Linked DNA regions of Stegostoma tigrinum. The protein of the gene in region 4 binds, or shares a complex with, the protein of the main gene of each other region. Links are inferred from orthologs where the notes say so. Each region holds a gene or a part of one and is shown on either strand. Other genes may lie near its edges. The genes, in order: thoc7, thoc3, thoc1 and thoc2.

Region 1 (7,725 bases), on a different chromosome or scaffold from region 4:
TCCTCTTCCACACCAGCTCCCTCCCTTCTCTTTCCCTCGTCTTCCCTTTCCATTTACCATCTGAACCTCTCCTGTTTTCTGCATTTCTCCCCCCTCATCTCCTGCTCTTTCCTGTCTCTTGTCTCCTCCTTCATCCTCCCACTTTTCACACTCCCACAGCTCTCTTTCTCCCCCTTCCTGTCCTGTTTTTCTATCTCTCTGTCTCCCGCTTACCATATTCCCCTCCTTCGTCTTCCCATTCTCTGTTATTCCATGCAACTGCCCCCTCTTCTTTTATAGTTATAAAGATCCACAGCACAAAAAAAGGTTATTTGGCCCATAACTTTTCTGCCAGTCAAAAACAAGCATCTAACTATTCTAATCCCATTTTCCAGTACTTGACTGATAGCTTTGTGTGCCTTAGCATTTCAAATCTTCCGTGATAAACACACTGCCTTTTTTAGATGCTGTCTTTATCTCCTTAAAGTAGCTAAATGATAGGACAGAGTCTATTAGGGTGCCTGTAGACTACTCCCTATCAGCTTTTTCTTGCCCTTGTTGTTTCTTACTTCTACCCATTTAGATGTGGCAGATGGATTTTAATACAAGCAAGGTTACCCATTTTTGGATTGCAAAAGAATAGACAAGGGTATTTTTTTTATAAGGCATAAATTTAAATACATTGCCTGATCAATGAGATTTAGGGATTGAGGTGCATCGATCTTTAAAATGCCACGAATAAGTGCAGAATTTAGTCAAGAAGAGTAATGGAATGCTGGTTTTCATACTAAGGGGCCGAAATATGGTGATACAGACGTAAGGCTGCAGTTATACAAAACAAAAACAAAGTTGCTGGAAAAGCTTAGCAGGTCTGGCAGCATCCACGAAGGAGCAAACAGAATTAACGTTTCGGGTCCAGTGACCCTTCACAGATGCTGCCAGACCTGCTGGGCTTTTCCAGCAACTTTGTTTTTGTTCTGATTTACAGCTTCCACAGTTCTTTTTGTTTTTATGCAGTTATACAAAACCCTTGGTAAATCCCATTTAGAGTACTGTCAGCAGAACTGGGCACCATGCCTTAGGAAGGATGTTTTGGCCCTGGATGGAGTTCAGCACAGGTTTAAAAGGATGATAACTGAACTTCAGGAATTCAAATTATGATGAGAGATTAGACAAATTAGGCCTTTACCTTCTAGAATTTTCAAGGTTAAAAGGTGATCCACTCAAGGTCTTCATAAAGATAAACTATTTCCATTGGTTGCAGGTTCAACAACTGGGGACATAGTCTAAGAATTAAACTAGACCATTCAGGAGACATGTTAGAAACTACTTCTATATGTGATGAGTAATAAAGTTTGGAACTGTCTTCCTCAAATGATGTTTGATGCTAATTCAATTGTTAAATTTAATAAATCTGACAGAGACAATTTATTTTAACAAGCAAGGGTATCAAGAGATTTTGGGTCCCAGGCAGGCATATGGAATCAGGCTATAGATCAGCCATAGTCTTATTGAATGGCAGAGCAGGGTCAAGGGGCTGAATGGTCTAGTCCTGTTCCTACTCTACAACTATCAATTCAAGATAATTTCTTGCTATTGTACTTATTCCATTTCTTCTTAAAAATCCCAAATGCCCTTTTCTTTCTGTCTGTTTGAAAAATCACATACCCTTGAAAATTTAGCTCCCAGCAATGATTTCCTTGAAACCATGTCTGTGTGATGCCAACAAGGCAATACCCATTAACTGCTATTTATACCGTTAATTCACTTATTTTGTTTTTAATAAAGAGCTGTTAATTTTGAAATAGCTTCCAACATGGACCTGCACTGATTTGCCAACTGGGGAAGGGTGGTAGGTTGTAATTAGCAGCTTGTGTTGGACTGATCCAGGGATAGTGATCAAGAGCCTGGGATACTGGCTGTAACACATGATTTGGCGAGCATAATCATCAGAGACTGTTGATTAGGCTGTGCGAAAAGGCATTTTGGTACATATTGTCACTTGTTGGTGAAGGAGAACTTTGGTTGTGTGTCTTTTGGTTTCTGACGTTATTCCCCCTCCCTCATCACCAACCCCTGTCCCTCTGTCATGTCCCCCAACCACTGACAACCCCTCCTTCTGTCATTCCAGCCCCCGACTGTTGTCTCCCCACCTTCTGTTGTTAACTCCCTCCCTCTGTCATTACCCTCTCCCTGTATTACTTCCCCTCCCCTCCTTCATCGCCCCCTCCCTCTGGTCATTCCCCCTTTGTCCTTTCCCTCTATCAATAACACTTCCCTTCCCTCTTCCCTCACACCCTCCCTCTGTCATCCTCCTAGATGAATATATCTAGATGAGAACGCCACTACTGTTACAGACTTCATTAGCAAATGTGTAGAGGACTGTGTGCCAAAGAAGTGAATCTGAATGTTCCCGAGGTGGAAACAACAGATGAGCCGGGGATCCATTGCCTACTGAAATTCAAGTGTGTCGAGTTCAAGTCAGGTGGCCCTGACCTTTACAGGAAGTCCATATAGAACGTCTGTAAGGCCAGAAGAGACACTTGAAGGCAATATCGGACTAAGCTAGAGCCCCAAACTAACCACACAGGCGCCCACCATTTGTGGCAAGGCCTACACAACACAACAGGCTACAAAATGAAGCAGAATTAATAACTGATGAAAATACACCCCTCCCTGCTGTGCTCAATGCACTTTATGCTCGTTTCAAACAGAAGGCCAGCGAAACGGTGTCACCTGCCCCAATAGACTCAGATGCATGTGTTCCCTCCGTCACCGCTGCAGCTGTCAGCTCGGCCTTCTTGAGAGTAAACCCACTAGAAGTGACTAGCCCAGATGGAGTCCCCGGCTGTGCACTTGGATCCTGCGTGTAAATCCTAGTGGAAGAATTAGCTTGGAGACAATCAGGATTGCAGATACTGGAAGCTGGAACCAATAAACGTGAAGCTGGAAAAGCACAGCCAGTCACACAGCAACCAAGGAGCAAGAAAGTCAATGTTTCAGGCCAAAACCCTTCATCGGGACTCACGGAGAAGGAGTAATCACTGACATCTTTAACTTCTCCTTAGTACAATCTGAAATCCCCAACTGCTGCAAGAAGACCACCATCATCCCAGTGCCAAGGAAAATTCATGCAAAGTGCCTCAATGATTCATCCATCGTTTCCGGTTGGAGAACATACAGATTGCCTTTTTTGGCATGCAGTCGTTTATACACTTGCTTATGAAGTCTGTATCGGTAGTGGCAAACTCATCTAGGTATTCTAGTTCTGACCTCCATAGTCAATGGCTCATATAAACTGAAGCCTCCCAGGCTGCCTTGATCCCTTGCAATTCGCCTTTTGTCCCTACAGGTCTACATTAGACACCATTTCCCTGGCACTACACTCATCCTTGGAACATCTGGACAACAAGGTTACCGATGTCAGACTCCCACTTATTGATTACAGCTCTGCCTTCAACACTACAATTCTAACCAAATTAATCTCTAAATTCCAAGACCTGGGTCTCTGTTCCACCCTCTGCAATTGCATCCCCAACTTCCTGACCCACAGACCGCAATAAATGAGAAAATGCAGCAACACCTCCTCCGTAACAATCGTCAACACCGGTGCCTCACAAGGCTGCGTAATCAGCCCCTTACTATACTCTCTGTTACACGCACGGCAGTGTGGCCAAATTTCATCATAACTCCATCTACAAGTTTGCTGATGACACCACTGTTAGATCTCAAACAATGATGAGGCAAAATACAAGTAAGAGAGAATGCTTAGTAGTGTGGGTAAAGATAACAATCTCTCCCTCAAACCAAATGAAAGAGCTGGTCATTGACTTCAGGAAGCAAGATGGAAGGCATGCCACCATCTACATCAATGGAGATGAGGTGGAAATAATTGGGAGCATCACGTTCCTAGGTGTGACAATCACCAACAATCTGTCCTGGTCCATCTACGTTGATGTGACAGTCAAGAAAACACAAAATGCCTCTATTTCTTCAGGAGGCTAAGGAAGTAGCAATCGGTAGTAGATTCGCCAACTTTTAGTACATTTAAGTCATCATTGGACAAGCATATGGACGTACATGGAATAGTGTAGATTAGATGGGCTTCAGATCGCTATGACAGGTCGGCACAACATCAAAGGCCGAAGGGCCTGTACTGTGCTGTAATGTTCTATGAAATTTGCCATGTCCATTAAGACTCTTACCAACTTTTACAGATGCACCACAGAAAGCATTCAATCTGGATGCATCATGGCTTGGTGCAGCAACTTGTGTGCCCATGACCATAAGAAATGACTGAGTTGTGAACATGCCCAGTCCATCACACAAGACAATGACCCACGCATTGACTCTACCCACACTTCTCACTGCTTTGGAGAGGCTTGCCACCATAATCAAAGCGACCTCCCACCCTGGTTATAACCTCTTCCAACTGCTTCTGTCAGGCAGAAAATACAATAGCTTAAACACATGTACCAGCAGGTTCAAGAACAGCTTTTTTCCTGCTGTTATTCGACTCCGAATGGACCTTTCAAATTTAATGTTGACCTTTCTCTTTGTGCGCCTTCTCTACAGCCGTAATACTGTATTCCTCTCAGGTCCAGTACCCTTGTCGTACGATCTACCTGCACGACATACGATAATAATAAATAAAATACCTCCACTCCCCACTCGCCCCCGGACTCCGCCTCCCGATCTCTACGTCAACATGACTCCGCCTCCCGAAACCCCCCACCCCCAAATACCTTGACTCCACCTCCCAAACCTCTGACCCCGCCTCTTGGTGCGCCGCGGATGTTTGCTCGGCCTGGAGCCGCCATGTCGGTCACTGATGGTAGGGCCTGTTTCCTTTCCTAGTTGTGCGCTGCCTGGACCTGAGGCTTGGGCCCTGGACCCTGCTTTCGGGCACTGAGTTGGGGGAGCGGTGCGATTGTCGTGTTGAATCGGCTCGTTGTTGTTTCAGCCGGTCCGTGCTGGTGGAGCCCGGGTCTCTGCCGGCTGGATCCTCGGGTCATGATTCTGATTAAGTTCCGGTTAAACCCACAGGCAGTCGGTTATGTGATGGAGTTTTAAAGAGACCAAGTAGTTCGCAGAGGTGGGAGTGGAGTAGGGACCTTGCCAGAGAACAAAGTATCAGTAACTGAGGGCGGAGCAGCAGAGGATATGGTCAGTGGGCCCTTCACTCTGTTCTGCTTTGGACCTATCCCTGACACCCGCACTTTGCAAATAAACATTTACAATCAACAGGAAGAGAAGGATCTGTCCCAGCCTTTACGAGAAGGGCGGAGTTGATATGGCTTGATGATGGCGTCTATAGCTTCCCCGATCCTTCTTTGATCCATGATAACAAGGTGTAGAGCTGGATGAACACAGCAGGCTGAGCAGTATCAGAGGAGCAGGAGAGCTGACATTTTGGCCTAGACCCTTCTTCAGAAATTGGTCAGACACTGCTCTGTGGAACTATAACCGAGAAGTGTGAGGACAATTTCCATACATAGGTCAATGTCACCTTTACTCCTCACGTTCTTCCCTTGATCTCAAGGCTCTTGCTTCTCATCGTGGCCAAAATGTACTCCACGTTTAATGTTAGCAAAGCCAAAAAAAACTTTGTCTTCACTTTAGTCAATATCTATTTGCATTTGGCCATGACTTACCAGCTGGTTGCTTTCAAACCTTTGGTCGTACAACTATGCTTGGCAAAGATAAGCATCATTTCCCACCTTCTGTTGAGACTGCATTATTTCTGACACTCTTTATCCTATTGTTACCAAATGCAAATGCTTGAGGCTGGACTTGTCTAGTATTTTCCCCATCTTGCCTCCACCTTCTACAAATTATTCCTAATGAAGTAGACTGTGCATTGTTTGCTCAAAATCCTATTCTTATCACCCCTGGGAATAACTTCATGATTCTGATCTTTACTTGCTGATTCTTTTATTTGTTTGCTATACCTTAGTGCAGTAATTACTTTTAACTAAATAGCTGACACACTCTGGATGTCAGCATACCCGACATCAAGTGAACCCAGATAGCTCTGTTGGTATGTTACGCTTTTAAGCAGGGTTTTTTGTGGTGCAATGGTAGTGCCTGTACTACTGAGTTAGGAGACCTGCTTTCAAGTCCCACCTGTCCCAGACATGATTGAACAGGTTGTTTAAAATGTCTACTCTTCATCTAGAGATGTGTTATAGATTCATAGAGTCGTACAGCACGAAAACGAAAAACTAGATGCTTCGGTCCAACCAATTTATGCCGAAAGTCATCCCAAACTAAACCAGTTTCACCTGCCTGTTCCTGGCCCATATACTTCCAAACCTTTCTTATTCATGTACTTACCTAAGTGTCTTTTACATGTTCTATTTGTGCCCACATTCACCATTTCCTCAGGAAGTTCATTCCACACAGGAACCACCCTATTGTGTTTTTAAAACAAGTGCCCTCCATGTCATTTGTAAATCTCTCCCCTGTCATCTTTAAAAATATGCACCTTAATCTTGAAATGCATGACCCAGGGAAGAGATACCTACATTTAACCTTATCTCTATACTCCTCGTGATTTTACAAACCTCCAAAAGATCACCTTTCAACCTCCTCCATACTTAACTATCTTCAGATCCCAAACCATCTTTCCTTTTTACCCTTTCCCCATAAAGGTGCTATTAATGTCTGATATATCAAGTATGTTGAATTATTTTAGTCTTAACTGTAAAAAGATCATTGACAAAAGTTTAAATCTCACCAAATAATTCAGTTAACTATTTAGAGACTTTTGAATTGAACTTCATATGCACTAAATCTATGATGCAAATTCAGATGTTTAAGATTCCCTCCTGCACAGAGTTTTGTCACTTTTGAACTTTATTATACTTATCATAAACTGTCCTAAGGTGCTTCACAGGAGCATTATCAAAATTTGATACCAAAGCTCATAAGGTATGAGGACAGGTGACCAAATGCTTCTTTAAAAGATAAGTTCTAAGGAATTCTAACATTTTCCAGTTCTTCCCTTCTCTGCTGCCTTACATACTGAGTGTTTCTAACTTTTTCTGTATTTGTTTCAGACTTCCAGCAGCTGTGCTATTTTGATTTTATGCCAAGTTTAAGGAGCATCTTAAAGGAGGAGGAGAGAGTTGGAATGGTTTACGGATGGAATTCCAGAGCTTAGGGTGGAGTGATTAAAATCAGGTGTGCATAAGGCAGAATACGGAAAAATAATGAGATCTCATAGGATTGTAGTTCTGGCAGAAGTTGTAGACACAGGGAGAGGTGGAAAACTGAGAAACGTGAAAGCAAGGATAAGCTATTTTTCAAATTGTGGTGTGGCCAGACTGGCAGTATAATGACGCACAGATATAATAGATACCTGATGGCTGAATTATAGTGCCACTTAGGTGCATTGTAACTTTAAAAAAAAGTGTGGCAACGAATTACCATGTGTGCATTCATGAACATCATTTATATATTGGAATTTGCCTATCAAACCTATTTATCAAGCAGTACTTGCTGACTAGCAATAATGTTGGGTGTTTGCTTTTTTTTTCAGATGCGTGTTAATTTCAACCTTTACTGTAGGCTTCATGAGTTTGCTAAGAACTGAAGTGAAAATAGATAGCTTGTAATTTTCCTGGCGTTTCTCAATCCATTCTGCTGAAGAGAGGCATTATTTGACTGCTTTGCTCTTGTGCTGTTAATGTTTCCTGCAAGATTTTGGAAATCATAGTCACAGTCTTTGTGACTCTCAGTTAC
Region 2 (7,867 bases), on a different chromosome or scaffold from region 4:
AGAAACCCGAGCTTATCCAGCCTTTCAGTATAGCCAAACTGTTCCATCTCAGGCAACATCCTGGTGAGTCTCCTCTATACCCCATCCAAATCAATCACAACCTTCCTATAGTGCAGTGACCAGAACTGCACGCAGTGCTCCAGCTGTGGCCTAACCAAAGTTTTGCACAGCTCTAACATAATCTTCCTGCTTTTATATGCTTTGCCACAACTGATAAAGGCAAGTCCCATTTGCTTCAGAGATAATGGGAACTGCAGATGCTGGAGAATCCGAGATAAAGTGTAGAGCTGGATGAACACAGCAGGCCAAGCAGCATCTTAGGAGCACAAAAGCTGACGTTTCAGCTAATGTGGCAGCTTTTGTGCTCCTAGGATACTGCTTGGCCTGCTGTGTTCATTCAGCTCGACACTTTGTTGTCCCACTTGCTTTAACTACCTTACTAACCTGTCCTGCCACCTGTGGATAAAACACCCCAAAAACCCTGTTTCTGAGCTGCCATTCATTGAGTACTCCTTTGTCTTGTTACTTCCTTCCAAAGGGCATCACCTCAAACATATCCAGTTTATATTCCACTGATTTACCATCTGGCCAATACATCTATATCCCCTTGTAACCGAAGAACTGCTTCCTCACTGTCAACTATCCGGCCAATCTACATATCATCTGCCAACTGACTTATCACCCCTTCCACAATTTATCCTCTCTCATGTCTACATGTAACAAACAATAAGGAATCCATACTGATCCCTATGGACACTGGCCTCCAAACACACAAACAACATTTTACCATTATCCTCTGTCTCCGAACGCTGAGCCAATTTTGGATCCAAATTGCCAAGTTACATAGATCCATAAGACCATAAGACATAGGAGTGAAAGTAAGGCCGTTCGGCCCATCAAGTCCATTCCGCCATTTAAATCATGGCTGATGGGCATTTCAACTCCACTTCCCTGCACTCTCCCCGTAGCCCTTGATTCCCTGTGAGATCAAGAATTTGTCGATCTCTGCCTGGAAGGCATCTAACGTCTTGGCCTCCACTGCACTCCGTGGCAATGAATTCCACAAGCCCACTACTCTCTGGCTGAAGAAATGTCGTCTCATTTCAGTTTTAAATTTACCCCCTCTAATTTTAAGGCTGTGCACACGGGTCCTAGTCTCCCCACCTAACAGAAACAACTTCCTAGCGTCCACCCCTTCTAAGCCATACATTATCTTGTAAATTTCTATTAGATCTCCCCTCAACCTTCTAAACTGTAATGAGTACAATCCCAGGATCCTTAGCCGTTCATCATACGTTAAACCTACCATTCCAGGGATCATGTGTGTGAATCTCCGCTGGACACGCTCCAGGGCTAGTATGTCCTTCCTGAGGTGTGGGGCCCAAAATTGGACACAGTATTCTAAATGAGGCCTAACTAGAACTTTATAAAGCCTCAGAAGCACATCGCTGCTTTTATATTCCAACCCTCTTGAGATAAACAAAAACATTACATACGCTTTCTTAATCACGGACTCCACCTGCAAGTTAACCTTTACAGAATCCTAGACCAACACTCCCAGATCCCTTTGCAATTCTGCTTTACGAATTTTCTCACCATTTAGAAAATAGTCCATGCCTGTATTCTTTTTTCCAAAGTGCAAAATCTCACATTTACTCACATTGAATTTCATCAGCCATTTCCTGGACCACTCTCCTAAACTGTCTAAATCTTTCTGCAGCTTCCCCACCTCCTCAGTACTACCTGCCTGTCCACCTATCTTTGTATCATCGGCAAACTTCGCCAGAATGCCCCCAGTCCCTTCATCCAGATCATTAATATACAAGGTGAACAGCTGTGGCCCCAACACTGAACCCTGCGGGACACCACTCATCACCGGTTGCCATTCCAAAAAAGAGCCTTTTATCCCAACTCTCTGCCTTCTGTAAGACAGCCTATCCTCAACCCAAGCCAGTAGCTCACCTCGAACACCATGGGCCCTCACCTTGCTCAGCAGCCGCCCGTGAGGCACCGTATTCCATGTACTTTCATTTTCTTTATTAATTTCCCACATGGTACCTTGTCAAAACCTTTGCTAAAATCCACATAAACATCAAATGCACTACCCTTATCCGCACATCTCGTCACCTCTTTGAAAAATTCAATCAAATTTTGTTAGATATGAATCTCCCTCTAAAGTGCCGACTATCCCTGATCAAACTTTGCCTTTTGAAGTAGACATTGATTCTCTCTTTCAGAATTTTTTCCAATAGTTTCCTACCATTAATGTGAGACTCAATGTTCTATAATTCCCTGGTTCATCTCTCCAACTCATCCTGAAAAGTGCAACCTCATTAGTTGTTCTCTAATCCTCTGACACCTCTACTGAGGTCATACAGGAATTAATATTTGGGTCAGAGCTAATGTAATTTCCTCTTTTGTCTTCCACAGCAGCCTGGGATACAAATCATCTGGACCTGGGGATATCTTCATTTTAAAGCTTCCCAAAATCTCTAATGTCTCATCACTCCCTATGCCAAACTGCTCAAAAACATTACAGACTCTTTTCCGAAAAATCAATCAGAAACCTTATTACCTTGAAAAAAATACTTGGTTGAGGACTTGAACTGCCAAAAAATTCAAAACGATGGACCATGTGCTGGAAAGTGGGATCATTATTGACAGTAGTTTTTTTGTCAGTGCAGACTTGAAGGGTGGAAGGCTGTCATCGATGATTTTATGATCTGGGACCTGATATATAACTACAGTTTTTTGAAAACTTAGTGTTATCAATTTGTCCCGTCATATTTCCAAAATTTTACTCATGAACATTGTTTTCCTCTACCATAAACAAATATCCAAAACAGTAGGGGCACATTGTATTTTTTGTTACTGCTTCTGCAATCCGTTAAAATTAGTATGGACTGATCTATCAGTCAGGAGACAGAAGTGAAGTACTCATTTAACATGTTTAACATTATAAACTCATTTGATGTCCTCTGACTCCACACATAGATTGCCCCCTTGGTCCGTCGCAAGGCTTGAATTTTCCATGGTAATCCTCTGCCCCCTAATATACTTATAGAGCATCTTGGGATTCTCCTTAATCTTACTTGCCAGTATTTTCTCATGCCCCTTCTTTAGTTTCCCAATTACTTTCTTAAGATCCCCCCTTTGTGCTTCCTACACTAGGGCAATGAAGCTTCTGGTCATATGCTCCCTTTGAAGCTGTTAAAAGTCTCTCTTTTCCTTCTTATCCTGTACTGAATATTCCTAGTCATCTAGGGTCCTCTGTGCTTGTTGCTCCTACATTTGCCCCTAAATGTACACATCTGACATTCACCCAGAGGGTTAGAAAACAACCACCCAGAGGGTTAGAGAATTGTGGACATCCAGACTCACCGCCTAGAGGTACAGTCAGAGGTAGAAACTCTCAAGACATTTAAGAACAATTTTGATGGGAACTTGAAACACCATTGCATATGAAGCCAAGAGCCAAGTGCTGGAAAATGGTATAGAATAGATGGATGTTTCACGGCCAGTATGGTATGATCGGCTGAAGGGGAACTTACCATACTGTCAAAAACCTTTCTGACCAAGGCTGGTTCTACTTTATTATTTTGATATTAACATTATTTTTTTCCTGCTTTCCCCCTCTTTTCTTTAGAATAAAGTTCCATGGATTATAGACATCCTCCAGTACTCAATCTAAATTTGCTGTACTTGAAACATTTTATAACTCTCACCTAAAGTATACACTTGTGTACTTTCAGCAGATGTTGGTGAATGAAAACCCTGGTTTAGTTTCCCCTACCTAGCTTTACCCTGGAGCATTAGAGGCTGACAGCTAACCTTATAGAGGTTTATAAGATCATGATAGCGTGGATAGCCAAGGTCTTTTGCCCAGGGTGGAAGAGACCAAAACTAGAGCCAAAATGTCAGTTTTTGTGCTCCTGAGATGCTGCTTGGCCTGCTGTGTTCATCCAGCTACACACTTTGTTATCCAAAACTAGAGGGCATAGGTTTAAGGTAAGAGAGGAAAGATTTAAAACAGACCTGAAGGGTAACTTTTTCACACAGAGGGTGGTGCATGTTTGGAATGAACTGCCAGAGGAGGTGGTGGAGTCTGGTACAATTACAACATCTTAAAGACATCTGGATGTGTACATGAATAAGAAGTGTTTAGAGGGATATGGGCTAAATGCTGGTAAATGGGACTTGATCAGTTTAGGATATCTGATCGGCATGGATGAGTCAGACCGAAGGGTCTGTTGCTGTGCGGTATGACTCTATGAATCTATGAGTGAGGATTGTACAGCCCTCTCCTGTGAAAGAACCAAACAGAAATGCATGAACAGAGATAATGGGAACTGCAGATTCTGGAGAATCCAAGATAACAAAGTGTGTAGCTGGATGAACGCAAATCCCCACCTATACTCTTCTCTCCACCTATCTTCTCCTCTACCCATCTTCGGTCCGCCTCCCCCTCTCTATTCCAGAACCCTCTCCCCATCCCCCTCTCTGATGAAGGGTCTAGGCCCGAAACGTCAGCTTTTGTGCTCCTGAGATGCTGCTCGGCCTGCTGTGTTCATCCAGTTTCACACGTTGTTATCTCAGAGATGCAGTGAAAGGGTCATTACCCCTTTAAGACAGTAGTAAGTGATATCTGACCGTACCATTTCTTTCCAGGGATGGATTTTAGAGCACAAACTTTTCAAAAATGAAAACTGGTTGCATTTTCAAATATGTTTAGAGAGAAAACATGATTTTTAAAACGACATAAGTATCAGTTGTGCCCGAGGTCTGCAGTCACCAAGTAATCCCTGTGACCATTCGCTCACGCCTCCCCCATCCAGATTGTGAGAGGAGTGGACCGAGCCGGCAAGATGGCGGCAGCCAGTTACTTGCTGGAATCCCAGGAGCATTTCAAAAATAACGGCCGCACCAAGGAATTCTCGGCCCATACGGCCAAGGTGCACTCGGTGGCTTGGAGCTGCGATGGACGCAGGCTCGCGTCTGGCTCCTTCGACAAAACAGCTAGTGTGTTTGTGCTAGAGAAGGATCGGCTGGTCAGTGGCGAGATGAAACAGAGAGAGGATGAGAGGGGAATCAACCTTCAACTCGGTTTATCTCCCTCTTGCCCCAACACACACACACACACACACACACAGCACACAAGCCGTCCGGCCTCCGTCACTAAAGTATCCAGCACCTGATAAAGTACCCCCAATACAAGCCCTCCAAAATGCTCCCACTCCCCCCGACACCCGTACCCGTGCTCGTTCGGTGTTCTGTTTCTACTTTCCCCCCGCACCCCCTGTCATAAAAACCGAAAGGGCTGCGGATGTTGTAAATCAGAAACAAAACAGAAAAACTCAGCAGGTCTGGCAACATCTGTGAAGAAAAAAAAATCAGTTAACTTTTCGGGTCCGGTGACCCTTCCTCAGATGCTGCCAGACCGGCTGAGCTTTTCCAACGACTTCTGTCTCTCTCCCCGTCATGACTACTTAGTAACCTTAACTCCTGGAATCCCTACACTGCGGGAAAAGGCTATTCTGCCCTCTGAAGGAATCCCACCTTGACCCCAAACTTGTTCCCCGTAATCCCACATTTACGATGACTAACCCACCCAGCCTACACATCCCTGGATACTATGGGGTAATTTAGCATGGCCCATCCACCTAACATGGATGTAAGTGCTGGCTCCATGGTAACACGTCCGCCTCAGTGCCAGTGGACCGGTTTTGGTGCCAACCTTGGGTGACTGTGTGGGGTTCTGCTGGGTGCTCTGGTTTTGTCCCATAGCCCGAAGGTGTGCAGGCTAAGTTGGTTAGCTGTAGTCAATTCATAGTTATATGGATAAAGTGGGATGCTCTCCAGAGGGTGGTGCACGTTTGATGGGCTGTATGGTCTCTTTCCAGACTTTAGAGATTCTATGATTTTTGGGAACCTCATATAATTGAAATTGATCAGCAGAGACTGAACTCCTGAGAATTTTCGGTACACACTTTCACTTTTTTTTTCTTTTAATCTTAATTTTCATGAAGAATGAGGTCAGCCAATTGATACCCTTCGGAAGTCACAAATGAACTGTAAATTTTTTGTATGTCTACCAGTTATTTGAAACAAGGTAATGTTTGCACTTTTGCCTTTCTCACATTGAGGCATGATATAAAATTGTGTTCATTACTAACCGTGACTGCATAGTTATTTTGTTGATGTGCTGAGTGAGAAATGGTTTTCTATGCTTTGAAGAAATTTTCAACTGTACTTGCCATCATCACAGGGAAATAACCAATGTGACACTCATTTCCAGGAAAGCTACTCACTCACCAACAAATATAGTCCACCTTTCTTTACAGAAAGTGGATCATACAGCTATAACATTTTTATTTCGCATTCAGTTCACTTATTTCTTTATGTAACATTTTTGCGTATTTCAGGTTAAGGAGAATAATTATCGTGGTCATGGTGACAGTGTGGATCAACTTTGTTGGCACCCAACCAATGCAGATCTCTTTGTAACTGCCTCTGGTGACAAAACGGTTAGAATCTGGGATGTCCGAACTGCAAAATGCGTTGCTACTGTGAACACGAAAGGTATGTTATTGAGGAATTTCCTGGATACTGTAATATATGACTTAATGTATAAAAATTTTGTTCATATAATGAAGGGTTAGGAATGACTTGACTGACTACAGTATGAAAATGCTGCTTCCAACTTAAATAGTTGAGATGCTCTATATTTAGGATTTTTGTCACCAAAGATTGCATATCATCGTTCTCTACAAATATACTATCATTTCTTAGTATGTTATTTCAAGACTGTAAGATATAGGAGCAGAATTAGACCAATTGACCCATTAGGTTTACTGTGCTATTCAATCATGGCTGATATGTTTCTCAACAGCATTCTCCTGTCTTCTTCCTGTAACCCTCGATTCCCTTACTATTCAAGAACCAATCTTTCTCTTATTTAAGCACACTTAATAACTTGGCCTCCACAGCCCTCTACAGCAAACGTGTTCCACAGGTTAACAGAGAGAAACAGGGGGAGGCGGATAGAAGATGGATAAAGGAGAAGATTGGGTGAGAGGAGATAGACAGATCAAAGAGGTGGGGTTAGAGCCAATGAAGGTAAATGTAGGTGGGGAGTTAGGGGGGGATAGGTCAGTCCAGGAAGGATGGACGGGTGGGGTATGGTGGGAGCGGGACGAGGTTAGTGGGTAGGGGATGGGGGTGGGGCTTGAGGTGGGAGGAATGGTTAGGGAGGCGGGGACTAACTGGGCTGGTTTTGGCATGTGGTCGGGGGAGGGGAGATTTTGAAGCTTGTGAAGTCCACATTGATACCCTTCGGCTGCAGGGCTCCCAAGCGAAATATGAGATGCTGTTCCTGCATCTTTCGGGTAGCGTCATTTGTGGCAATGCAGGAGGCCCAGGATGGACATGTTGTCTGAGGAGTCGGGTTGGCGGGGGGGTGGGAGGAATTGAAATGGTTCGCGACTGGGAGGTGTAGTTGTTTGTTGCGAACAGAGCGTAGGTGTTCCGCAAAGCAGTCCCCAAGCCTCCGTTTGGTTTCCCCAATGTAGAGGGATTAGCGGATACAGTATATGTGAGAAGTCTTCTGAGAGCCTGGGACCAGGGTGACGTATAGAGGCAGGTGTAGCACTTGCTTCTGTTGCAGGGAAAAGTGCGGGGATGGTGGGGCTGGAGGGGAGTGTGGAGTGGACAAGGGAGACACGGACAGAGTGGTCCCTCTGGAAAGCATATAAGAGTGGGGAGGGAAAAATGTCTTTGGTGGGGTTGGATTGCAGATGCCTACAGGAACGGCATCAGAATGATTCTACACACCCTGACACACTCATCACACTACCCTACATCAGGAACA
Region 3 (7,086 bases), on a different chromosome or scaffold from region 4:
ACTCCTTTAGAAACTTTCCTCCAGTCTGAAACATATCTACTGACAATTAAGAGGTAACAAGGTGTGGAGCTGAACACATCAGGCCAAGCAGCATCAGAGGAGCAGGAAAGCTGACATTTCGGGCCTAGACCATTTATCTGTTTCCTCACATTCAGTCAATTTTGTATTCATTTTGCTTAACTGTCCCTTTTGTACCATGACCTACAACTTTTCTCACAAGTCTGTTGTGTAGGGCTATTCAAATACCTTTTGGATATCCATGTACAAACACACCAACAGTGTTACCTTAACTGATCCTTTCTTTTACCTCTTCAAAAAACTCCCAGCAAATTAGTTAAGCATGATTTCCCCTTGAGAAATCCAAATCCATGCTAACGTATCCTGACCTTTTTCTGTGATTAATAATTCTATCCCAAATAATTATTTCTAGATGTTTTCCTACCACTGAAATTAAACAAACTGGTCCTAATTGATGGGATTATCTTCACCACCCTTCACGAATAAAGCTGTAATATTTGTAATTCTCTAGCCTTCAGGCACTTTCTAAGTCCAAGAAATGCAACAGTCAGTGCCCCTACAGTTTGGACACCCTCATTTCCTTCAAAAAATGTCAACATATCTCATCTGGTCTGTATGCCTTATGAACTTTAAGTGCCCACAAGCTATCCAAACTTCCTTCTTCATTGATTTTTTAAAAACTCTTCCAGTGATCGAATTGCCTCCTCTGTCACCGTGACCTAAGCAGACCTCCTCTTTTGTAAAGTTAAATGAATGCTTTTCATTTGTCACATCTGCCATGCCCCTCTGCCCCCTGGCATTGATCTCTTTTTGGTCTCTGGTTGAAATTCTCCTTTAACCACTCTCTTACTGTTCACATTACAGACAAAATCAGTCTGTGTAATGTTGCAAATTGTTAGGCATAAAGAAAACACAATTAAAGAGTAAAACCTGGAAATAACAGATGTTGTACTGGAGATCCATTTTCTTTATACAGAAGCCAAAGTGGACCAGTATACATCAAGTTTTACTGGTTTTAAATGTTGCAAACTGTAACAAATACATCAGCAGGGCCGAAAAATACTGCTTTTGAATTGTGTAGCCCTGGAAACAGCTAAGCTTTAAAAGCAATTTTAAATACTTTTCTGGTCTGCAATGTTGCTTTTAGTGATTTGTTCACTTCTGTCAATAAACTTGGTTCTTCAATACCATTCAATTTATTTTCCAACATACGGATGATGTTTCTGTTTTCTTGACCTAAGGACATACACTGTGTATTTATCGACTGGTTTGTTGACAACTTAACTTCCCAGTCAACAAGTTCTCTAAAGTCTGTTTGGATTTTGTTGCATTCTTATTCATGCACAAAAGAACTGAAATATCCATTCAATACTTGCTATTTCTATCATTGCCACAGTTTATCTTGCTCACTGATTAGTGACCCAATCACGACATTATCCTTTGATATTTGTGTCGACAGAAGAAAGTATATAGTTCATATTCCTTACTAATTTCATTATACAATTTATCCTAGCTTTACTGAATTATTTTTACTTCTCTTCTAAATTTATCATATACCCTATTGTCATCTTCTCAGATAGTATTTTAGCACTTCTTACCTGTCTTGTACCTCTATCATGTCCCAGAAGTGGATATCTTGTTTTTAAATTTTAGTACAATTCATTTCTCATGATTTAATATCATTTGTAAATTTCCTGATTCTTTTTATCTTTGCTTTTAAAGATCTTTTCCCAGCTTAACTTTAGTTGTTCTGAATTTGCATTTTCTAGCCTATTATCTTAGTTTTTCCCCCCCAAAGTCTCTCCCAATTTAAATACCAAACACTACTATGTTGTAATTACAAACAAAAGAAAAATTGTTAGAAAAGTTGAGCAGGTTTGGCAGCATCTGTGGAAAGAAATCAGAGTTAACATTTCAGGTCAGTTGACCCTTCCTCAGAATTATGTTGCAATTAACCAACTAAGACACTCCAAAGCTCTCTGATCGCCTTTCTGCTCTGGTTCGTTAGCTACTACATGATCAGGTAGTGATTCTTACCTTGGACTTCCTGAATAAAGAAAAGGAGAGAAAGGATTCCTGTAAATACTGTAAAATCTCAATTCCCTTTCATACATGTAAGTCATCATTGGATAAGCATATGGATGTACATGGAATAGTGTAGGTTAGATGGGCTTCAGATCGGTATGACAGGTCGGCACAACATCGAGGGCCGAAGGGCCTGTACTGTGCTGTTATGTTCTATGTTACTTGGCCCAGCAAGTTTAGTCAAAGATAGTCTAAATATTTAACACTTATTTAATGCCTGCTATTCAGCTCATAATTATTTTCCCAATTCCTTTTAAGTGCCTGGTACTTTATCATGTAGTACAGACAGGTTAACAGGTCCCTTGTCTTTTAAGGCATATCTTTCTGATACAAAGAATTTTCCATTCACTGATAACCCTTGGAAGTTGTAGGCTTCAATCCAGCTCTAAAGACTTCAGCGTATAATCAAGTCTGGCAATTTTAATACAGTCAAGGCTATCTTTCAGGTTAGACTTCAAATAAACGACCCCATTAGATGGTACAATTTGAAAAACGGAGAGGTTTGCCTGATGATCTGATCAGAAATTAATTATCCTTCAACATCATTAATCAATACACGCCCCCTTCTTTTAAAAATCAGGAACCGAATATACGATAAATCAGTGAACATATCAGTTTAATTCGGCACACAAGTCGACCACACTGGGCGCGAATAATGCAGATTTTAACAAATTAGTGCCACGCCGCATTTCCAGACCGGTGCTGGATATCGCTTTTGACGGCCGATCACTCCCTCCCCAACAGTTTCATTTAGCGTGAACTACCTACACCATCTATTATAAAGCAACAAAGTAAAATAGCCGATTAGTATCGGACGCAAAACTACCAACAACTCCTTACACTGAATTTCTGTCGAGCCTCATTAAACTGGAACAAACCAGGAGACATGTTGACCGGAAGTCCCGAACGTGAAGCAAGCTGGGAAATAGAATCTGGGCACAACAGCGCCCCTTCCGTTAGAATGGATTATTGACTAAACATGACAGGTGGAAGATGGGAGGGAGCCCAATAATAGTGTGGGATATTATGCAAAACCGAATGTTATGGTATGCAAACATTATTTATTGATCAGGGTCGGGGAGGAGGTCAAATTCCAGGATAACAAGGCGTGGAGCTGGATGAACACAGTAGGCCAAGCAGCATCTTCGGCGGAGGAAAGCTGACGTTTCGGGACTAGACCCTTCAGAAGGGTGAGCTTTCCTCCGCCGAAGATGCTGCTTGGCCTACTGTGTTCATCCAGCTCCACACCTTGTTATCTCAGATTCTCCAGCATCTGCAGTTCCTATTATCTCTGATACAAATTCTAGGATTTGAGATAAAGAGATGAGGGGAAATACGAGGACCATTCATTAGGTAATGGCCAGGATCTCTCAGCAGGTCGTGCAAGCAGAGACAACAATTTCAGAAGGAAATTGTTTGGCCATGAGAAAGGTCAACTAAACTGCCCGACACAGAGTAGATATTAACTCAGTGGGCTCAATGACAACCTGAAATGGTTCCATAACAGTATGCATAACTCAATATTATAGTTTGCAATATCAAAAACCAGTAAAACTTGAAGCATACTTAGATGCCAAAAATGGATCTCCTGTATGTTTGTTTCCAAGTTTTATTGCTTATTTACGTTTTTTTTCTGTCTGGGAGGAAGCCCATCAGTCTGCAACTTTACACATTATTTTTAACTATACTGTTGCGCAGAGTCCAGCATCACAAAGAGCACAATATTATAGTTTGCATCATTATGAAGAACACAAAATTACAGTTTGAAAAATTAGAGAGTCTAGAGAAAAGTATTGTTTTGCACGCTGTGCAGACAGATCATACCATACAAAATGCATCAGGGTAGCAGAACAGCTTGCAGAAAACAGTGTTTCAGCAGCAGGGAAGATGTAGAGAGAGACCAGAAGTAACATTTGAGAGGCCATTCAAAAGTCTGATAACAGCTGGGAAGTAGCTATTCTTGAATCTATTTTCGTACCCAATGGAAGATGGTGGAAGGGAGTATAACCGTGGTGGGAGGGATCATTGTTAACCTTGGTTGCTTTCCCAAAGCAGCAAGAAATTTGGATGAAGTCAATGGATTGAGGGCTGGTTTGTGTCATGAATTGGGCTGTCATTTTTTGAGGTCTCGGGAAAAGTACTTGCCAAACCATGCTGTGATGCATCCAGATAGGATGCTTTCTATGATGCATCTATAAAAATTGATGAGAGTCCTTGTGGACATTCTGAATTTCCTTAGCCTTTTGAGGAAGTAGAGATGTTGTTGTGCTTTCTTTCATCGTGGTTTGATCAGAACAGATTTTTGGTGATCATCACTCCCAGGAGCTTGACACTATTGACTATCTCTGTCTCAGCATCACTGATTGCATACAGGGGTGTGCCCTCCACTCAGTTTCCTGAAATCAAGCAATTAAAATGCTGGATATATTCAGCAGATTCCATAAACACCTGCTGAGAGAAAAGTAGCATTAATGTTTCAGGTCTTTGAACTGCCGTATTGCTCCTGAATCCTGGAAGAACCTTACACTTTTGTCACAAAGCTACACATCACTGAGCATAAATTGAACAGTGTGAGTTGAGTTTGAACTATCTCACAAGAGCACATGGACATGAATACACAAAAAAAATCAATTAGTCTTTTCTGAATGAATTTATAAGTCAGAACCTGGTGTATCTATGATTACCATGTATCACAGTATTCAGTTTTAATGCATGATTATAAATATTGTTGTTTTGAAATCTAAGCCTGAAGATTGTTTATGATTTTGCCTTTTACTTAACGGTCTGAATGCAAACTCATAGCGTGGCATCAAACAACATGATAAAAGATGGTGGAAATCACAGGATTCCCTGTCTTGAAAAAGAGTGAAGATCAAGAAACAGACCTGATATCCTGTGGAAAATAGAAGAATTTTAAAATGTAAATTTCAAGCATTTGCGGAATGGAGCCATAAAAGTCACAGAACTGCATAGCTGCTGTGAGGGAAACATTGAACAGAAAATGTCTTCCAATACCACCAGAGCACAACATTTCAAAATGCCTTTTAAATTCAGGAATAGAGCAAAGAAGCATTTAAATAAACAGTGAGAGCAGTAAAAGCCCACAAGCAGCTTATGGGCAAAATCTGAATCCAGGATTTGTGGGAAGAGTCTGATTACTGGATAACCAAAATAAATTTGATTCCTTAAGGGAAGGGACAAAAAGTTTTGTTTCCATTTGAAAAACTAGGTTGAGGAGCACTGTTAAGATGTTTAACAGTATGTAAACAAATTTTTGAACTATTTTCCTGCAGCAAAGTGAATAACGTCACAATAATTTTTCAGGTACAGCTTTAAGAAAGTTAACTGAAAAAGGAATAAAAAGGAATATGGATCATTATTGCTACTGAAGGTATCAGACCCTTAACTGTAAAGATAATGAAATCTTTTAAATTTTGATGGTTTTATGGACAAATTCGAGGTTTATTTGGCAACTGAGCAGTTTTACTAAATTTATTCATTAAAATAAAAAAACGGATAAAAGAAGAGGATCAATTTGATCATGAATTCAGAGTGTATATACCTGGGACATAGAGTTTATCTGCCATGATGAGCTCAGGCCAAACCTCAAGGATTTTCTTTAAACCGCATTTATTTACATTGTATAAATTAGAGTATTGCAATAGAAACATCTATCCCTAACCACTCACCTTCTGGCAGGGTGTCTCCCACATGACCACTGAGACACTTCAGCTCACTTCAAACTCATCTATATATTCCTTAAATCTAATCTCTACATATCCCTATATATTTCCCATTTACAAATATTGTAGCCCATTATCTGCATGGAAAAAGACATTTTTCATGGAATTGAGCTATTGATGTTGGTGACCACTATTGTTTTCCATAATAACAAGGTAGATATTCCCTTTAAAATCAAAATGTTCAACTCCAACTATTGTCACAGCAGTTTGGGGAAGGTGGATGGCAATAACGGTACAAAGTACAACAAGAGGAAGTCCACAACGGATTTGGAGATTCTGGACCTCTATCCAGACTTTTTTTATTGTCCTTTCATGGGACGTTGCCACTACACATGAGGTCAGCGTATTTCCCCACCCCTATTTGCCGTTGAACTTGCCAGATGTAGATGACAGCTAAGCATCAATAACTTTGCTCTGGTCTGGAGCCATATGTAGGTCAGACTAGGTAAGGATGGCAAATCTTACTCCCCAGAAGATGTTTGTGAACTTGATGGATTTTTATAATTGATATTATTTTCACAGTCACCTTTATTAAGACCAGATTGCAATTCCAGTTTTTAGTAATTAAACTTAAAGGCAATCAGCTGTTACGGTGCAATTGTAACCTGTGCCCCCAGTGCATTTGCTTGGACCTTCAGATCACTAGTCCATTGACATTAGTATGATACTACTCTCACAAGGGGACAGGAACATATGTAAAGAGTCAGAAGGAAGAGAATCAAGAACAAAAGGTAAAAAATGAAATAAAGAAAGTGGTAGGTGGAGAAATCAATGTTTGAGACCAAACAGAGCCATAGTGAAAAATAATGGGAATGCAACAGTAATGGTTAAAAAGACAAGTCTTAAGGTTTTGAAAGAGGTGAAAACAGGTGTGATACAGTCAGGATTATGGCAACATGGTCATAAGGCGACAAGGAATGAGAACTGAAAATTCAGGCATATCCAGTATTTAAGAACGGCATACCAAAAGGAAAAAACAATGGAGTTGCATCTTTGAGGAAATTGACTTAATAGTGAGGATGGATATTAGATCTGATGATGTGGAACTTTGCTGCTAGAAACATAGAAAAACACTAAAGTGCAAAAAGAATTAGTCAGGGTTATGTATAGATTCCCAAACCGTAGGAGTTATATTGGGAATGGCATTAAACAATAAATTTCAGACAGACTCAATAAAGGAATATTTGTAATTATGGGTGACTTTAATCTTCATATAGTTTGGGCAAATCAAATTAGTAAC
Region 4 (7,986 bases):
CCACTCTTTCTAAGCCATAAATAATCTTGTAAGTTTCTATTAGATCTCCCCTCAACCTTCTAAACTCTAATGAATACAATCCCAGGATCCTCAGCCATTCATCATACGTTAAACCTATCATTCCAGGGATCATCCGTGTGAATCTCCGCTGGACATGCTCCAGGGCCAGTATGTCCTTCCTGAGGTGTGGGGCCCAAAATTGGACACAGTATTCTAAATGGGGCCTAACTAGAGCTTTATAAAGTCTCAGAAGCACACCACTGCTTTTATATTCCAACCCTCTTGAGATAAACGACAATATTACATTCGCTTTCTTAATCACAGACTCTATCTGCAAGCTAACCTTTAGAGAATCCTGGACCAAAACTCTCAGATCCCTTTGTATTTCTGCTTTACGAATTTTCTCACCATTTAGAAAATAGTCTGTGCCTGTATTCTTTTTTCCAAAGTTCAAAACCTTGCATTTGCTCATGTTGAATTTCATCAGCCATTTCCTGGACCACTCTCCTAAACTGTCTAAATCTTTCTGCAGCCTCCCCACCTCCTCAGTACCACCTATCTTCGTATCATTGGCAAACTTCGCCAGAATGCCCCCAGTCCCTTCATCCAGATCATTAATATATAACGTGAACAAGTGAGGCCCCAACACTGAACCCTCGTCACCAGTTGCCATTCCGAAAAAGAGCCTTTTATCCCAGCTCTCTGCCTTCTGTCAGACAGCCAATCCTCAATCCAAGCCAGTAGCTCACCTCGAACACCATGGGCCCTCACCTTGCTCAGCAGCCTCCCGTGAGGCACCTTATCAAAGGCCTTTTGGAAGTCTAGATAGATAACATCCACTGGGTTTCCCTGGTCTAACCTACTTGTTACCTCTTCAAAGAATTCTAACAGGTTTGTCAGGGATGACCTCCCCTTAGTAAATCCATGCTGACTTGTTCTAATCTGACCCTGCACTTGCAGGAATTTAGAAATCTCATCCTTAACAATGGATTCTAGAATTTTACCAACAACCCAGGTTGGGCTAATCAGCCTATAATTTTCCATCTTTTGCCTTGATCCTTTCTTAAACAAGGGGGTTACAACAGCAATTTTCCAATCATCTGGGACTTTCACAGACTCCAGTGACTTTTGAAAGATCATGACCAAAGCCCCCACTATTTCCTCAGCCACCTCCCTCAGAACTCTAGGATGTAGCCCATCGGGGCCAGGAGATTTATCAATTTTTAGACCTTTTAGCTTTTCTAGCGCTTTCTCTTTTGTAATGCCTACCATACTCAACTCTGCCCCCTGATTGTCCTTAATTGTTGGCATACTACTCATGTCTTCCACTGTGAAGACTGACACAAAGTACTTATTAAGTTCTTCAGCTATTTCCTTATCTCCCATCACTAGCCTTCCAGCATCAATTTGGAGGGGCCCAATGTCTACTTTTGCCTCTCGTTTGTTTCTTATTTATTGAAAGAAACTTTTACTATCATTTCTAACATTATTAGCTAGCCTACTTTCATATTTGATCCTCTCCTTCCTTATTGCTCTTTTTGTTATCCTCTGTCTGTTTTTGTAGCCTTCCCAATCTTCTGATTTCCGAGTGCTCTTGGCCACTTTATTGGCTGTCTCTTTTTCTTTGATATATTTCCTGACTTCCTTTGACAGCCACGGCTGTCTAATCCCACCCCGGATAAATCTTTCTTTTCTTTGGGATGTACCTCTGCACTGTGTCCTCAATTACACCCAGAAACTCCTGTCATTGTTGCTCTACTGTCTTCCCCGCTAGGCCTCTGTTTCCAGTCGAGTTTCGTCAATTCCTCTCTCATGCTCCTGTAATTACCTTTATTTAACTATAACACCATTACGTCCGATTTTGCCTTCTCTCTTTCAAACTGCAGGCTGAACTCGATCATATTATGATCCCTGCCTCCTAAGTGTTCCCTTATTTTAAGGTCTTTTATAAAGTCAGGCTCATTACATAGCACTAAGTCCAGAATAGCCTGCTCCCTTGTGGGTTCCATCACAAGCTATTCCAAAAAGCCATCCTGTAAACATTCCATGAATTCCCTTTCTTTGGATCCACCGGCAACATTATTCACCGAGTCCACCTGCATATTGAAGTCCCCCATGATCACCGTGACCTTGCCTTTCTGACATGCCATATCTATTTCCCAGTGCATCTTGCGCCCCTGGTCCTGACCACTGTGAGGAGGTTTGTACATAACTCCCATTATGGTTTTTTTGCCTGTGTGGTTCCTCAACTCCACCCACACAGACTCCACATCCTCTGACCCTATGTCATTCAGTGCCGTGGATTTAATTCCATTCTTAACTGACAAGGCAGCCCCGCCCCCTCTGCCCACCTCCCTGTCTTTTCGATAAGTTGTGAATCCTTGAATGTTTAACTGCCAGTCCTGAACTCCCTGCAACCATGTCTCTGTGATGCCTACCACATCATAATCATTCAAGATGATTTGTGCTGTTAATTCATCTACTTTGTTGTGAATAGTACAAGCATTTAGGTGAAGTGCCTCAATGCTAACTTTCTTATCACTATTAGAGATACTGGAAATCCTAAGATGTCTTAAGCTATCCTTCCTTTTTGCTGTATTCCTAGTCTGCCTCAAGCTTAAACCCACCTGTACACCTGCTATTCTGTTGCTTATCTTTCCATTTAACTCCATACTCCCTGTCACTTTCGCCTTCCCTTCCCCCCAACTCAGAAGTTTAAAGTCCTACTGACCACCCTATTTATCCTTTTCGCTAGAACACTGGTTCCAGATTGGTTCAGGTGGAGACCGTCCCCAACGGTACAGATCCCCCCAGTTTAAAAAACTGATGCCAATGCCCCATGAAATGGAATCCCATGTTAGTCAGGGACAATGTGCCTTCCATGAAACCATAATGACTCTGCATGAATAGTTCCCATTTTCCAAATGAAAACCGAAAGAACTGCGGATGCTGTAAATCAGTAGCAAAAACGTCGCTGGAAAAGCTCAGCAGGTCTGGCAGAATCTGAGAAGGAAAAAACAGTGTTAATGTTTTGGGTCCGGTGATCCTTCCTCCGAACACCTCAGTTCTGAGGAAGGTTCACCAGACCCAAAACGTTAACTGTTGTTTCCTTCACAGATGCTGCCAGGCCTGCTAAGCTTTTCCAGAAATAATGGGAACTGCAGATGCTGGAGATTCCAAGATAATAAAATGTGAGGCTGGATGAACACAGCAGGCCAAGCAGCATCTCAGGAGCACAAAAGCTGACGTTTCGGGCCTAGACCCTTCATCAGAGAGGGGTGATGAAGGGTCTAGGCCCGAAACGTAAGCTTTTCCAGAACTTTGTTTTTGTGCCATTTTCCAAAAGTTCTGCTATTACTTCCCTAAGAATTGATTCCAATACTTTTTCAATAATTGATGTTACGCTAATCAGCCTATAGTTATCTGCTTTTTGCCTTACTCCCTTTTTGAATAGGGGTGTTGCATTAGCAGTTTTCCATTAATTTGGTACTTCCCTGAAATCCAATGATTTGTGGAAAATTACCATCAATGCATCACTATCTCTGCAGCTACCTCTTTTCAGATCCTTGCACGCAAGTCATCAAGACTCGTGGACTGATCTGTTTCTCACCTCATTAGTTCGTCGAAAAATTCTTCTTTCGTAATCAGGATGGTACTTAATTATTCTCCATATTCTTTTGCATTAAGGGGATTTCAAAGTATACTCAACCATTGAGACTGATGCAAAAGAGAGTTTATAACTCTTCTGCCATTTCCTTGTTCACCATAACCATCTGTCCGGGTTCAATGTTCAAGAAGGTCTACGTTCACTTTGACCTATCTTCCCTCTGATATATTTAAAAGAAGATCTTATCATCAGTTTTTATATTCCTTATCAGCTTGTCCTTGCAGTTTATTTTCTTTGACTTTATTATCTTTTTAGTTCTCCTTTGTTGGTTTCTGAATTTATACCAGTATTCCCAAACAAATGTATCCTAACAGATATATGTTCCGAAAATGAGTGACCAAAATGGAGGTTGAGAGGAAATTAAGGTTGTAAGAGCTGTTCCTCTTTCTGAGTTTTTCAGTGCTGGAACTGATTTCTTTTATTTCTTGGAGCAATAATTATTGTTATATGTTTATTTTTGGAACTTTAAAAAATATCAAAAAAACCACAGATAAATGGGATGAGACAGACTGAATGAGATGATAGAGAAAGTGGTGGAGGCTAGCAAAATTATAACATTTAAAAGGCATCTGAACGGGTACATGAACAGGAAGGGTTTAGAGGGTTCTTAAGAAAGGTCACTCGACCCAAAACATTTTCACTGAGTTTGTCGCCACAGATGATGCCAGACCTGCTGAGCGTTTCCAGCAATTTCTGTTTTTGCTTCTGATTTGCAGCATTCACGAATCTTTTTGTTTTTATTTTGGGTTTACAGGAATATTGGCCAGATGTAGGCAAACGTTACTGGGTTAATTTAGGATCTCTGGTCTACATGAACAAGTTGGACCGAAGGGTATGTGTCTGTTGTACAACTCTAATTCTGGTTGTGACAGGTAGTCTTCCAACTCTTAGATGTGTAGAATAAACTTCAGCTAATCTAAAGTTTATTTATTTTTTTAATATGGAAAAAAAAATTCACCATAACCTTTCAACGCAAATAGGAATTGGGGGAAACACAAAAAATTTCCTGAGCACGAAATCTGATTTACCTCAGAAAGTACCTACTAAGGGTGCTTTCCCCACAGGAAGTACATGATTCAAGGGGCAACTGAACATATTGTCCAATTTTCCCAGTTCTTGCAAGATCCAAAAGGCTCCTCTCTCAGCAAATGCTAGGAGAAGTTTGTCGCACTGCTGGTTTAGCCTCGGTAAAGCCAGGGAACAAACCATACCTAAAATTCACAGGGCTTCCTCCACTAACAATTGGCTTGCCCTCAGTATCCCAACATGCAGCGGGTAACATTGACCTGTGACCCCCTCATCTCACCGGGCGATACATCCGGGCTATGAGTGCAGAATGGTGTGCAGCTAAGATGGCGGTGATGGTGTTCCATGGCGACTGGTTGAAGAATTGGGAGAAAGGGGGCAAAACGGATTTGTAAGTCGGGCGGAAATAAACTCCCTAAGTGTGCATATGGAGCTGATCGTTTGTATCTTAGAATAGGCAGAGTGCAGAACGCGATTGGGCTGCGAATGAAAATCGCGTAACCCCCCCCCCCCCCATGTTTGAGCTTTGTGTAATTTTACATAATGTAAAACGTGGTGGCGTTTAGTTCGGTGGTGGCCTAATCGGTTTTAATCCAGAAAAGGCTTAATAACAAACTTGACTGTTTCTGGTCCGTAAATCGACAATATGTGGGTCTCTTGCATAATGTCTTGGTTATGAGAATTTGTTTTGTTTTAAAGGTAACGAGATAAATGTGCTATTTGACGTAGGAAATAGGTTTCTGATTTCAGGACTTTTTTAACTTTCAAAGGTGTTAATTATGTTGTTGATTTGTTCATCATAAGATAAATATTGAAATCTAAATTTAGGTTGAAAGTGACAAGATTACGTCTTTCCCACAATTCAGTTCATGCCAAAATATTCAGACAAAGTAATGGTTACTGCAAAGTATTTTGGAATGGATTGCATATGAAATGTAAGTTATGTTGTCATTTTGATTCTGATCTTTAAACGATTATGATTAGTTGGAAACTAAGGATAGAGGGCGACATATATATCAACCTAATCTGTTTCATTGCGGTTTGTTGGATTTTGATGAAATTTATTAAACAAATCAATTTTAAATCTAAAGATACACCAATACAAAAATATTGTCATGAAAAATGATTTTTTGTTTTTGTATCATCCAAACTTGTTTGATGTAATTAGGGCTGTGGAATCCAAAATGACTTCAAATGAAACGGAGAAAGAGGTCTTCCTCAGGAAATAATGGGAACTGCATATGCTGGAGAATCCAAGAAAACCAAGTGTGGAGCTGGATGAACACAGCAGGGCAAGCAGCATCTTAGGAGCACAAAAGCTCCTAAGATGCTGCTTGGCCTGCTGTGCCCATCCAGCTCCACACTTTGTCATGTCTACTTCCAGAAAGTTGTGATCTCTTTTCTGACATTATCAGACTTGGAATTGGATCTGTGATTACACTAACAATGTGATTATAGCAAAGTAACAGCCCATAAATATCGAAATCCTGGTTATGATGCAATTGGTATACTTTTCATAACTCAGTTTATCCAGGTTGATATTGAGCAGTTATGGGTTTTGTCCATAAAATTTCTGATCTAAATCTGTTACAATGTGGGACTATCAAATGGTTAACTGAAACGCGAGTGTTCTGAAATTTAGAGCAAAAATACCATATAGAATATTTGCACTAATTGGGAACAGAAGGTCATGTTGCAGTTGAATCTGATGAAAAGTAGATTATTATCAATATTGCATTGCTTACTTTAAATCTTTATAACCTTCAACAAATTTTTGTGAAAACAGAATTTATGACTTTCAAGTTTTGAATGGTACAAAATAAAATTGGACTTTATTCAAGCTTTCTTTGAATTATAATCAAAATACACCAGATTTTCATGAGAGCTTGTGCTATGGTAATAATAACATTAGCAACCAATATTTGTATAACACTTTTTTAATGAGCAAAAACATTAAGGTGTTTCACGAGAAGATTATAAAACACAATGTGATACACAGCCACGTGAGATACTAGATTAGAAAGGGGTAGGTTTCAACAAGTGTCTTAAAAAAGAGAAAAAGACAGCTGTAAAATAATGGAGAAGCAATTGAAAATACAGTTACTGAAGGTGGAACAGATGTGATTTAAATATGTGCAAGGATCCAGAATTAGAAAAATGTGAACATTTTGAAAGGTTGTATAGTTGGAGGAAGTTAGTGAGGAAGGGTTGAGGCCACAGGTATTTGAAAACAAAAATGCAAATTTTGCATTTAAAACATTGATTGGAAACCAGTGGGGTTGGGGAGGTGGGTGGTGGTCACAGAATGGATGGAGAACGGAAAATGCAGCAGATGACCTGAAATGGCTGAAGAAATACCATGCTACAAAAGTGGAGACAGGAAAATGTGAGCTGGTACTCAACTCAGGGTCATAATGATGCCAAGCTTGTGGAAAACAAAAATGCTGAATCCCAGACTTGTTGGGCAGGAGGTGTGTCTCAAAGTTGCAAGTTGGCGAACAGAATTTGGAATTTGAAGGAATTAAAATAAGAGCTTCAACCTGGAAGGTTTTTTTTCGGAGAAAACTGCTGTTCTTGTACTGTATTTGGATAAGTAGTCTGATAATTTAGCAACAGTGTTGTAAGAGTTGGTGGTGAGGCAATGCTGGGTGATTGTGAAAACCAACACACTGCCTTTTGAAGATGATGCCAAAGGAATATGTGAGACGGAGCCAAAAATAAGTCCTTGGGGAAAGCCAAGGGTATTGTGCAGGAGCAAGAAGAGAAATCATTGCAAGTAATTTTCAGGCTATGATTTGATAGGATTGTGTCTGCCTTGTTCCATTTTTATCTATCAACTCGACAGTGATGGAGAGGCATTTAAAGAAGAGTGGTGTGGTCAACTGTCAGGCTACAGATAGGTTGAGCATAACTGTGGGCAAAAGTTTATTTATGGTACAATCATATAATATTAATGAATTGGTTCTAGGCCTTTTTGGAGCTGTGGCAGGGCAAAAAATTAATTGGAATGATTCAAAGGTGGAATTTTTGAAAAAATGGCAATAGATTTGGGAAGTGAGGGAGTTGAAGGTTGGAGCACGGGATGGCATTTTGCAAGGACTCTGTGTTTCAACGTTGACTTTGAAGGAGATGCTAACAGAAGATATGATGGAGGCGGGGACAGTGTTAGAAGAGAGGCACCAGGATCGGAAGTTGTGTGATCATCAGTTTGGGGATGGGATCAGAGAAGCAGGAGGTGTGTCTCATGGCCATGGTGAATTCAGATAGGGGATGAGGGAAAATAGATCAGAAAT

Evidence for each region.
Region 1: thoc2 (region 4) and thoc7 share a complex: the UniProt entries of both Homo sapiens proteins name them as parts of the transcription/export (TREX) complex. The link is inferred for Stegostoma tigrinum from reciprocal best matches to the Homo sapiens genes THOC2 and THOC7.
Region 2: the proteins of thoc2 (region 4) and thoc3 are in contact, whole or in part, in a cryo-EM structure (PDB 7ZNL), measured with the Homo sapiens proteins. The link is inferred for Stegostoma tigrinum from reciprocal best matches to the Homo sapiens genes THOC2 and THOC3. Residues at the interface, in NP_001075019.1 of Homo sapiens: Tyr395, Arg396, Pro401, Lys402, Gly403, Ala404, Lys405, Gly406, Ser407, Pro446, Ile447, Ala450, Arg454, Cys500, Asn501, Ala502, Cys503, Met504, Glu506, Pro563, Arg566, Gln567, Lys570, His573, Tyr603, Leu604, Thr605; in NP_115737.1 of Homo sapiens: Asp193, Met196, Ile208, Val217, Gln218, Asn221, Ala222, Pro224, Ser225, Ala244, Asp245, Ala246, Leu247, Ser249, Trp251, Asp252, Asp254, Glu255, Leu256, Val257, Cys258, Val259, Cys261, Ser263, Leu265, Asp266, Pro268.
Region 3: the proteins of thoc2 (region 4) and thoc1 are in contact, whole or in part, in a cryo-EM structure (PDB 7ZNL), measured with the Homo sapiens proteins. The link is inferred for Stegostoma tigrinum from reciprocal best matches to the Homo sapiens genes THOC2 and THOC1. Residues at the interface, in NP_001075019.1 of Homo sapiens: Leu155, Phe156, Tyr157, Lys158, Gln160, Asn163, Leu164, Leu165, Arg166, Asn169, Glu170, Ala173, Lys174, Ile176, Ala177, Gly180, Gln181, Asn195, Lys197, Ser198, Leu199, Ile200, Gly201, Cys202, Phe203, Asn204, Leu205, Pro207, Asn208, Arg209; in NP_005122.2 of Homo sapiens: Asn134, Arg138, Asn141, Leu144, Arg145, Lys149, Thr153, Cys156, Gly157, Gln160, Leu161, Ala164, Arg165, Phe167, Gln242, Phe245, Arg246, Tyr297, Ala299, Lys300, Phe301, Arg319, His320, Leu323, Gln324, Ile327, Tyr331, Arg373, Phe374, Lys376.

What each region holds. Positions count from the first base shown.
Region 1 is NC_081364.1:48,290,300-48,298,024, forward strand, and holds the start of thoc7 (THO complex subunit 7 homolog), read left to right. Parts: upstream 1-4,713; 5' UTR 4,714-4,773; coding exon 4,774-4,813; intron 4,814-7,040; exon of another isoform or gene 7,041-7,164; intron 7,165-7,725. UniProt on the Homo sapiens protein: Component of the THO subcomplex of the TREX complex which is thought to couple mRNA transcription, processing and nuclear export, and which specifically associates with spliced mRNA and not with unspliced pre-mRNA.
Region 2 is NC_081366.1:46,163,967-46,171,833, forward strand, and holds the start of thoc3 (THO complex subunit 3), read left to right. Parts: upstream 1-4,850; 5' UTR 4,851-4,865; coding exon 4,866-5,048; intron 5,049-6,422; coding exon 6,423-6,579; intron 6,580-7,867. UniProt on the Homo sapiens protein: Component of the THO subcomplex of the TREX complex which is thought to couple mRNA transcription, processing and nuclear export, and which specifically associates with spliced mRNA and not with unspliced pre-mRNA.
Region 3 is NC_081358.1:78,360,403-78,367,488, reverse strand, and holds the start of thoc1 (THO complex subunit 1), read right to left. Parts: upstream 3,009-7,086; 5' UTR 2,992-3,008; coding exon 2,944-2,991; intron 1-2,943. UniProt on the Homo sapiens protein: Component of the THO subcomplex of the TREX complex which is thought to couple mRNA transcription, processing and nuclear export, and which specifically associates with spliced mRNA and not with unspliced pre-mRNA.
Region 4 is NC_081368.1:29,291,336-29,299,321, reverse strand, and holds the start of thoc2 (THO complex subunit 2), read left to right. Parts: upstream 1-4,968; 5' UTR 4,969-4,992; coding exon 4,993-5,084; intron 5,085-7,986. UniProt on the Homo sapiens protein: Component of the THO subcomplex of the TREX complex which is thought to couple mRNA transcription, processing and nuclear export, and which specifically associates with spliced mRNA and not with unspliced pre-mRNA.